2 linked regions of the Saccharomyces cerevisiae S288C genome follow. Changing the gene in region 2 together with the main gene of any one other region gives a genetic interaction. Each region holds a gene or a part of one and is shown on either strand. Other genes may lie near its edges.

Region 1 (4,922 bases), on a different chromosome or scaffold from region 2:
TTTGCAATGAATCCCCTCATCAATCATTTATGCTAGTTGAATATTTACTAACAGTAACAATAATAGCAGTGCATTAGAGGCTTTATTGCGTCATAAAATAAATATCAGTTCAATTAATGTATAAAAGAAAATGCTTATATATGTATTGATTAATAACCTTCTCAATGATGGGAGGGGCCTTATGTAAAATCACAATCCCCTTCCCCGTTTGTCGTACTATGATTAAATGCGAAAACAAAATGCAAAGAACATAAATGCAGGGAACCAAGTACAAATTCCCTTACATGATTGAAGAGAACATCAAATACGTTACTTCATCATCATCCATCATCTCTTGTAAACTCTTACCCTTCGTCATAGCTGCTCTCTGTTCTGTACCCATAACAGACGCCTTAGTTGTGTCTACGCCGTTGATGTTGTCTAAGCTATGTGCAGGAACCGTATAGCCTCTCCTCATGTATGCGGTCGGTACCACAGCAGCGCCCACCAGCCCTAACATAATATATCTAAACTTTGGAGTTCTCACAACTCTTTGTGCCTCTGAGTATATTCCTGAATCTAACTTCATTTCAGTAAACTTTGTTTGAATTTTATGCGCTAAATATTTGTATTGATTGTATTTATTGATTCTGATCCTTCAGTAACACACATTCCAAACTATCCTGGATAATGTGAAAGAGATTTGGCAGTTCAATTTATATGAAGAAGACCCTCACGTCGCGAAGCATTTTTAACAGTGTTATCCCAGTATCCCGTAATTCTTCTCTTCATCCAATGCTGGCCATTACTCCATTTATTGGGGTGATGTAGGCTTCTTATCCCTTTTAAAGGGTACCTTATTGATCTCCCTTTTCGGTGCGGCTGATGAAATCTATAGAGCAAACCGAAGTAAAACAAAATTACGAAAAGAAATATAACATTATATCTTTATCAAAATGTATGTATGGAGGAGTAACAGCTGAAAACCCCCGTTGTGAGTGGTTTATGATTGTTTTCACGCTTATTTTGTCTTCTATATCTTTGCTGATTTTACTTGTATTAATCCGGTTCATCCGAAAACTTTTTTGAAGATCGAGCCAAATTTACTTTTTTTCTTCTTTTCAGACCTTTTAAATTGATGGTCGTTTGTTGAGGATGAGGAACTGTCCTTTTTGCTGTTGCCTGATTTGGTGCTTTCGGTAGTTTTCGTCCTTGAAACGTGGTTGTGGTGATGGTGGTGGTGATGCGCTTTTCTCTGTCCTGAAGAAGATGAAGTGGAGGATGTTCTGGGTGATAGCCCTGCGGATTTTGTTTTTCTCATTGGATGTGAAGTGAACTTCATTTTCGGATCCTCATTGTCCCATTTTAGTGCTGTCTTGATATGAGGCGTAGAGGCAGTTTCGTGGTTGTAAATGTCATCAACCATGGACTTTACTTTATAAATGCCGTTATTGTTGAATTGTATTCTTGAACTCCGCTTTGAGCTGCGCCTCGAATTTCTCGATTCTATAGGAGTTAGCTTTCGGCCAGAACTGTCGTACTTCATAAGAGTGTTATCATCCAATAGTACTTGTCTCGACGGTTTTGGTCTAACATATCCCATCTTATCGAAGAATTCCATTTCTTCCTTTTTTTCAGGTGAGATTGGGAAGTACTCATTTACAGAGGTTACTGACTCATCACTATCGCTTTCTTCATCATCCGAATCAACCACTTTATGTTTTGTGAAAGGGTTTTCCAAAGTTCTCCTGATTAATGCACTTAGCCATTGCAATCGTTCCTTTTTTCTCACTTCCGTTTTCAAATCATCGCTGTTGTCCTGTTCATCTTTATCCACTCTAGGTTTTATTAAAAGCTCAGGCTTGATGAATTCGAATGGGACAACAAATGCTGGCATTGCAAAGTGTTTCATTAAAAAAAATGGTAGTTTCACTTTTCCATTTCTAAACTTGATTTGAATGTTGGCACTAACGGTGCTGATTACTTGCAAACTTGGCCTATACAGAGAGGTCGCAGATATTATGGCTGATCTTGTTGAATTTTCTTTTACCATCTCAATACTAATCCTAACTATTTTAGTTGCCAATCTTCTCGCGTAGTAATTTAAAATATCGCTACAAGTTTGCTTAGCCTCATTATGAATAGCTTCTATTCTTATTCCCGTTGATAAAGGACTAGAGAGATCCGGGCCTATAAGGCTATGTGACGCGGTAGTCATGCTTTCACTAGTATTGCTAGTCATCCTTTCTAAGCGGTGCCTTCTTTTCTCCTTATATGCTAGAGTATCAATCTTTGCTTCAAACTCAGGAATTGTAGTAATTATGACTAAATGATCACCATTTCTTGTCAAATTTTCAACATACCAGTCCACAGATGACCAAGTATATCTCCTACCTGATATATAACACGAAACAACTCTTAAATCTACATCGTCATCTTTGTCTTTGCAATTGAGCTTTTCTTTTGTATTGGAAATATAATTTTCATAGTCTGGATGATCAATTGTCATTGAAATTGCATTGTGAACAATTGTAGGCCTTGATGGATAAATTGCTGCTAAAGGGTCCGTCACGTTGCTTGAATCCGTTTTTGACTCTGTTGTGTTCAAATAGACTGGAACTTGCTCACCAAAATCAAATTGATCTATTTTAGTCTTGTTCGATCTTCCTTTACTTATATAAAATTCCTCTAATTTGGCTAATTCTTCGTCTGTCATCCCGGCAAACGACTTGGACCTTTTCTTTGAGCTCTCCATATTTTCGCTTTCGGATAAATCTACCATTGACTTGGTCTCAATTCTATCTTCAACTTCATTAAGATTGGCAAATGCAGCTTGCGTATAGCCTTTCCTTGATCCAGAATTTTTTTGAGTGTTTCTTTCGGTCATTTTGGTCATTTTTCTTTCCAGCTCAAAATCCAAATCACCAATATCAATATCATCAATAGGGCCCTGTTCATCAGCAGCTTTTCGAGATTTTTTTAGCACGGATACTTTTGGAGGGGGAGGCAACCTCACTGAAGTCCTTCTTCTTGACCTGAACATTGGAGACTCACTTCTACTTCTTTCAACGCTGGGCGATCTCAAATAGCTTTTGGAGGGATCATGTGCTGCAGGAGAAAATACCTGAGTATAGAAGTGAGGAACTCCAGATGTTGTAGACGTTGGAGTTCCTAGTTGTAGTGGCGAAGAAGCTTCTTCGTCTTCGGGTGAGTCCAAGCTTTCGTCAGTGGCAAGGTCATTAGAGCCATGGCTACCGGTCAAAGTATTTTTGTAAACAGGATTAAATTGTGGAGGTATATGTAAAAAATGATTATTCAAGCCAACATGGTGACTGTCATTTTTAATAATGGTAGCTTGGTCATCAATTAAGGAAGGTGCCAGATCATCAAACGAGATATGCTTAGTAAATGTCTTTGCAGATGACATCTTCTATTATTTTTATTAGATATTAGCAGTTTGCCAGGGATTACAGCTTCTCCCTTATGTACAGTGCGACAATATTCTTTTTTTCAATGTGTCTTTTTATTCATTCTTCTGAACAGTTTCGCTTCGTTAAGGGTCCTTCTGGCTTTCTAGAGGCATGCTCACCTAAAATCCCCCTAGAAAAGCGGGCTCTTTACCCGGCGAATAATAATAACCGCGGCTACTAATTTTGCACCATTGAATATTAACCTCAAAAGGCTTAGTTGGCAATTATATTCTCCTTCTATTAATACTTAATGTTTACAATGTCCTTATAGGTGTTTAAATATATTTTTATATACTTTGTACATATTGACTTCCCAGTGCGTAACAACGTCTTCCAATGACTATTTTTTTTGTTCGAGAGTATATAGTTTTTTTTTTAAAGCTAGCAGTTCGTCCTTGAGGGAATCTCTATTTTCTTTCGACATATACAGTTCCGCTTTCAGATTGTTGATTTTCATTCTGTGGAACGCATCAAAATTTCCATGAGTGATGGCGCCACGCTGTTCCTGCTTGTCATCCTGTTCAGCTTGTTCAGTTTTAATTCTATCAATCTCCTTCTGTAAATCGTCGTTGTTTTTACGATATTTTTCGAGCTCGGATTGTGATAGGTGAATAGCCTTCTTTGTTAGGTCCATAGACTTCGAGCTTCCATCAGAGAGTTTTCTTAGCGCATCCAACTTGTTGTTATTGTCGAGTAAATTAGCCCGCAAAGAATCTCTTTCATCATTAAGCTTCTGAGTTTCAAGGTGCAATTTCTCTTTAGCACGCACGGTTTCGTGCATTTCATTTATTACTTTTTCTATTTTGTTCAGCGAATCTTTCTCATATATTTGATTATCTTTCTCACTTGAAGGTGGCCGTGCACTGGTAGGATAGCTTTTTAATAATTTACCCAGATAGCAGGACGATTCGTTCAAATAGGTATGAAGTTCGGGGGTTATTTTTTGCATATTATTTACAAGTATTTCGTTCTGGCGCTTCAAAACATCACATTTATTCTCAAGATCGATGATATCCCTTTTAATAGTGACATGTTCGGAGCATGTTTTAAGTCCATTATTTTGAATCGTAATTTGGTCACAGAGTTTACTTGCCTGAGATAATTTGACCATCAATAAATTTTTTAAATCATTAATTCTAGATTCTAAAAAGGTTTTCTGAATTTCTAGATTTTTAAGCCGTGCTGTTTGAAAATTTGAATCTTTTGAAGCTTCTTTTATTACCATGAGTCTCTGGACTTCCTTTTCTAATTGTGAAATATGTCTAGCAGTTTCAAGTTCCTTTTGTTGAGCTTCGAGACGTAATGTTTGTAGGTTCAGGTTTAAATCATCAAAAAGATTTTTGGGAATTCCTTTTTGACATGATGTGTCCTTATATGAAGAAGAGCCATACTCTTCTGAATCCACTGTTAGTCCTCGTAGAACAGGGAAATTTTTTTTAGATACTTTGATACCAGTTCCCGGACTTTCCTTAT
Region 2 (5,113 bases):
AATTTTGGAATCTTCATCAATACCATCCTGTTCGTTAGCAACTTTGTTTGGTCGCAAAGAAAGTGTACCATTCGTATATAAGAAAGGCTTGTTAGAACCTTTAAGTGACTCTAGCATAGCTACAGTGGCCTGACGGTCAATTTCGCAGCACTGTTCAAAATTTTTAAAATCATGCACAAATCCTAAATGAATAACGCCATCAGATTCAGTGGCACCTTTTTTCAAAATTTCCAGATCCTTGAGATCACCGCGAAGGATTTTTGCAGCAGGATCAATCGACTTAATCTTTGCAGCAGCCTCGTCTGACCTTGCCAAGCCAACAACTTCATGACCCGAGGATATTAGTTCAGATAATACGGCAGAACCAATGAAGCCAGAAGCACCAGTTATAAATACTTTCATTTTTTGATCTCTTTTTTATTTTCTTTTGTAAAAGTTGAGTTATCACGCCTTAGCGCTTATGAATACAAGAGTGATTGTAAGCATAGTTGATAGAAGCGGGAGCCGTTATTTATACGTTAGTTGAGTACTTGAGGGTCTTCATCGCCTACTTTTTTTCCTTAATATCCTTGTGTTAGTAATCATATCTTCAGGAAAGCCAAGAACTAATGGCAAATTAAATCCGCGGCTTTCCCTTTAAACTTTTTCCAGCACAATCTATTATGTTGAGAAGTTCCGCTAATTTCCGCATTGGAAAAAGAATCTCATCTGCAAAAACGATGGTTTCTTTCTTCCACGGAAGACTTATGTCCGTCCTCTCTATTTTCATATTGTTCTTTCTCTCTCTTTTTGCATAACGTCACAATACCCTAGTGCTACCGTCATTGGCGCAGCATAAGAGTATTGCATTTCATGTCTTCAGATTTTGCCTCGCGAAAGAGAAAACACTAAGAGGTGAAAAACAATAAAATTATGTTCCAGTGTGTCATACGTGAGGTTTTATCACGGGGCCACCGTTCTCATTGGTTACTTGGTTGTAAATGCTTTGCGTTGTGATAAATATATGGCATGAAAAATCATATGACTTCAAAAATGAACAGATTCCAGATGCCAAGCCCGCTTTCCTTCGGCTAACTAGATGCGCGCTCGCCCTTGAAATCCTTAATCAGCACAACTCAATTGTATGGACGTGAGCTCTGACTTTTGCTTCCGACAATTAGGCCTTTCATATCTGTCCTTCTGAGATGTTATGTATCATGCATTTTGTATACACTATGCAACACCCTTCGCAATGGCGAAAGCGGAAAGTCATGGCACCATCAATCGTGCTCTGACCAGTATGTAAAAAATTTCTTAAGCCTCACCATGTTACAGATTGGCCAGAGCATCTGGATATTCACCACACCTGATTGGGAAGACTCATAGTTTTATGAAAGATTTCTTCAGAAAAAATGACATGCTGATTTTGTCTACTTGCGTGTGCTTTCAGTTCTTTACCAGTACGATTTGGTCACGTGACACGCGATCAACTACATTCAATCCATCTGCCCCTTGCTGGTTCCGAGTATCAATTCTAAATTGTGGCTACCACTATAGCAATAGTACGCCAAGCTCGGATGCAAATCACGGATATCTTCTTAGCATCCGAGTTCAACATCCGAGTTCAGCATCCGAGCTTTGCGGCGAAAACTTAACAAGATAACGGATAATCAAAGTTCTCTGTGATGTTACGGAGTCTTTGGTCTGCGCTGCTGACTAAAATAGTGTGACACAACGTACATAGCGCCACCCATATTGGCCGATAAGGACCAGACTTGTGGCGATGACTGTTAACTCTCCGCGAATCTTTTTCGAAGTCGCAGGTGGCATTGCAGAAACAAAAATGTGTGGCTTCTGAAAAAAAAAATAGGCACCCCATTTGATGTAAGACATCTGGCTACCCCTTGTACATTTCAGTCACTGAGCATCGAAGGCACGTCTTTGCAGCATGCAATAGTGTTCGAAGTTCTTCCATTTACGGTGGCTCCCCTCACTGGAACGGTGATGTAATATGTAGATAGCTAAAACATTTCGCAGGTCCCTAGGAACTGGACGTCAAGATGAATAGGTATTGTTAAAAATGCGTACCTGTTGAATTGAAGAGGTCGGAAAAATCAAAGTACTTAAACAGACGATTGATTCGACATTTAGCTATTCAGGTTGCACTTCTTGAAGGTTGAACAAAACATCAAGAGAAAATAAAAAAGAAAATATAACAAAAAAGAAATGTCAAAAGTTGACGTAAAAATTGGAGCAGACTCGATCTCCTCTTCTGATGAAATCCTAGTTCCTTCGAGACTCGCTGATGTTACGCTAGCATTCATGGAGGAGAATGACGCAGCAGTTCCAGAAATCACGCCTGAACAAGAAAAAAAATTAAAGAGAAAGCTTTTTCTCACAATATTCACCTTTGTCTCTGCCATTAACCTTTTACTTTACATGGACAAAGCCACTTTATCCTATGATTCGATTCTAGGCTTCTTTGAAGATACAGGTCTTACCCAAAATACTTACAATACTGTAAATACGCTGTTTTACGTTGGTTTTGCAATCGGCCAATTTCCTGGACAATACTTGGCTCAAAAGTTACCACTTGGGAAATTCTTGGGTGGGTTGTTGGCCACATGGACTATACTTATTTTCCTAAGTTGTACCGCATACAACTTTTCCGGTGTCGTTGCGTTGAGATTTTTCTTGGGGCTAACAGAGAGTGTTGTTATCCCGATATTAATTACCACTATGGGTATGTTCTTCGATGCTTCAGAAAGAGCTGCTGCTCAGCCATTTTTCTTTGCAGCATGTATGGGGTCTCCAATTCCAACTGGGTTTATTGCTTATGGTGTTCTTCATATAACAAATCCCAGCATTTCGTTATGGAAAATATTCACTATCATCATTGGTGGTTTGACTTTTATCATGACGGTTGTTGTAATTCTGTGGTTTCCTAATAATCCTGCTGATGTGAAATTCTTTTCAATACAAGAAAGGGTATGGATTATCAGGAGAGTTCAGGCATCCACAGGCTCTTCCATTGAACAAAAAGTCTTCAAAAAGAGTCAATTCAGAGAGGCAATGAAAGATTATATAACCTGGTTATTTGGATTGTTTTTTCTTCTTCAACAGTTAGCCAACAATCTGCCCTATCAACAGAACCTGCTATTTGAAGGAATGGGTGGAGTTGATGCTCTAGGTTCGACATTGGTATCAGTTGCCGGTGCTGGTTTCGCCGTCGTTTGTGCCTTCATCGCTACGTTGATGTTAGCAAAATGGAAAAATATTTCAGCTTTAACAGCCATCTTTTGGACTTTACCAGCATTGGTGGGATCCATCGCTGCAGCTGCTTTACCATGGGACAATAAGATTGGTATCTTAGCAAATATCTGTATGGCAGGACAAATATTTGGTATTCCTTTTATTATAGCTCTTAGCTGGGCAAGTTCAAGTGCATCTGGGTACACCAAAAAACTCACAAGAAGTTCGGTGTCCTTATTTGCGATGGGAATTGCTAATATCATATCACCACAAATATGGAGAGAGAAGGACTCTCCTCGCTTTTTACCTGCCTGGATTGTTCAAATCGTTTTATCATTCTCTCTTGCACCAGCCATTTTGTTACTGATCCATTTCATACTAAAAAGAAGGAATAATCAAAGACTAAAAAATTATGACGAAAATTTACAAAATTATTTGGACAGAATTCAACTCATTGAAAGCGAAAATCCTTCTTCCATTGAAGAAGGGAAAGTGGTAACCCACGAGAACAATTTGGCAGTCTTTGATTTGACTGATTTAGAAAACGAAACTTTTATATATCCTTTGTAAATATTGATGTTTTGTTGTGTAAATGTTCTATCTGACACTTAATAATTAGAAAATTAATTTTTTAAACTTTCCGGCTGCAAGAAAGAGGAACTGTGTCTCTTTGAAAGGCACAATTTCCCAAAGAATCATTTACAATGGTAAATAGCTTACTGCTTAGAAAATAATAGATAATTGAATAAATTTATAGAGGAATTTCTTGACAATTTCTTCAAAACAGCCGGTAAAAGTCCATTAAAGATTAGTTTTTCTTAAATAAATCACCTAAACTTTCAAATTTAGCATAAAAAACATGTAGATATTTGTTCTCTGTACTTTATAATCTAACATTTTATAAGACAGAGACTAGTAACCCCTCTAGCCTGTGGTTAAAATACGCAAAACCTTTGAACCCTCAATATTTTTGCCATAATAATGACAACTATATTGTACCCATTTGTTCTTGAGTTGTCCGTATGGATGGAAAGCAGCACTCGAGTTTGCTGAAATTACATACCTCGGTATGCAATATGCCCAGAAAATTTGTAAATGATAATTTACATAACAATTCAAAACATATTGATGTTTTTCGTGGGTAACCATAGTTCTTGGAATGTCAACTGAGGGTATTTGCACTTCAAAAAAAAAAATTTATTAAATGAGACTATATACAGTGAGCACAACCTGTCTAATACAACGGCAAAAATTATATACATTGGTAGATTTTCAAAATTGAACTCTTTGTGCTAAAGAATTGTCACAACAGTTTAAAAAATAGTTTGAATTCTTCAAATTGACCCCATATTAATAAGACCTGATGCGATTCCGGTCTCACCCAGATTAGAGAGGGAATTTAATTTTCTTAGGACCGTAGCTACCAAAAATCTTTGTGTGGTATTGATTATATGATCGTGCTTGCGAAAAAAATAGAAGACTAAAAGTAGCATTAGTTTACTAACTTTCTCCTCGTATCTTTCAAATTTGTATTCCCCTCAAAAGTTACTCAGGTTAGGGAAAATTCCAAGTAGCTTATCAAGATCAATTGCCATTAGTTGATTCAAGGCTTCATTGTCATAATTCATGAGGTCAATTTCACTCTGTAAAGATTCGTCAACATCTTCAGTGAAGTTTCTGGAAAATTCTTGTGCGGAAATGAGTTTTTCTAATTCTTCCAAAATCTCCAAATCAAGACTTCCCAAGAATTGTGGATTGTTTAATTTTGATGTGAACGAAAAGGACTTATCCCTTCCCATACCCCATTTTAAACCGACAATCCTATGGATTCTTGAATATCTTTCATCCATAACGGCGTCACTCTTCCAGTAGTCGGATATAA

What was found. A genetic interaction does not mean that the proteins touch.
Region 1: mutations in YCT1 (region 2) and YGR237C together harm fitness less than expected from each alone (positive genetic interaction), as found in Saccharomyces cerevisiae (one large-scale study listed by BioGRID).

What each region holds. Positions count from the first base shown.
Region 1 is NC_001139.9:962,250-967,171, forward strand, and holds YGR237C (uncharacterized protein), read right to left. Parts: upstream 3,407-4,922; coding exon 1,049-3,406; downstream 1-1,048. Other genes in the region: SPG1 (Spg1p), read right to left, coding at 281-568; KEL2 (Kel2p), read right to left, coding at 3,790-4,922.
Region 2 is NC_001144.5:27,904-33,016, forward strand, and holds YCT1 (Yct1p), read left to right. Parts: upstream 1-2,205; coding exon 2,206-3,801; downstream 3,802-5,113. Other genes in the region: YLL056C (uncharacterized protein), read right to left, coding at 1-402; YLL054C (uncharacterized protein), read right to left, coding at 4,770-5,113. UniProt on the Saccharomyces cerevisiae protein: High affinity cysteine-specific transporter. Major contributor to cysteine transport when cysteine, at low concentrations, is provided as the sole sulfur source.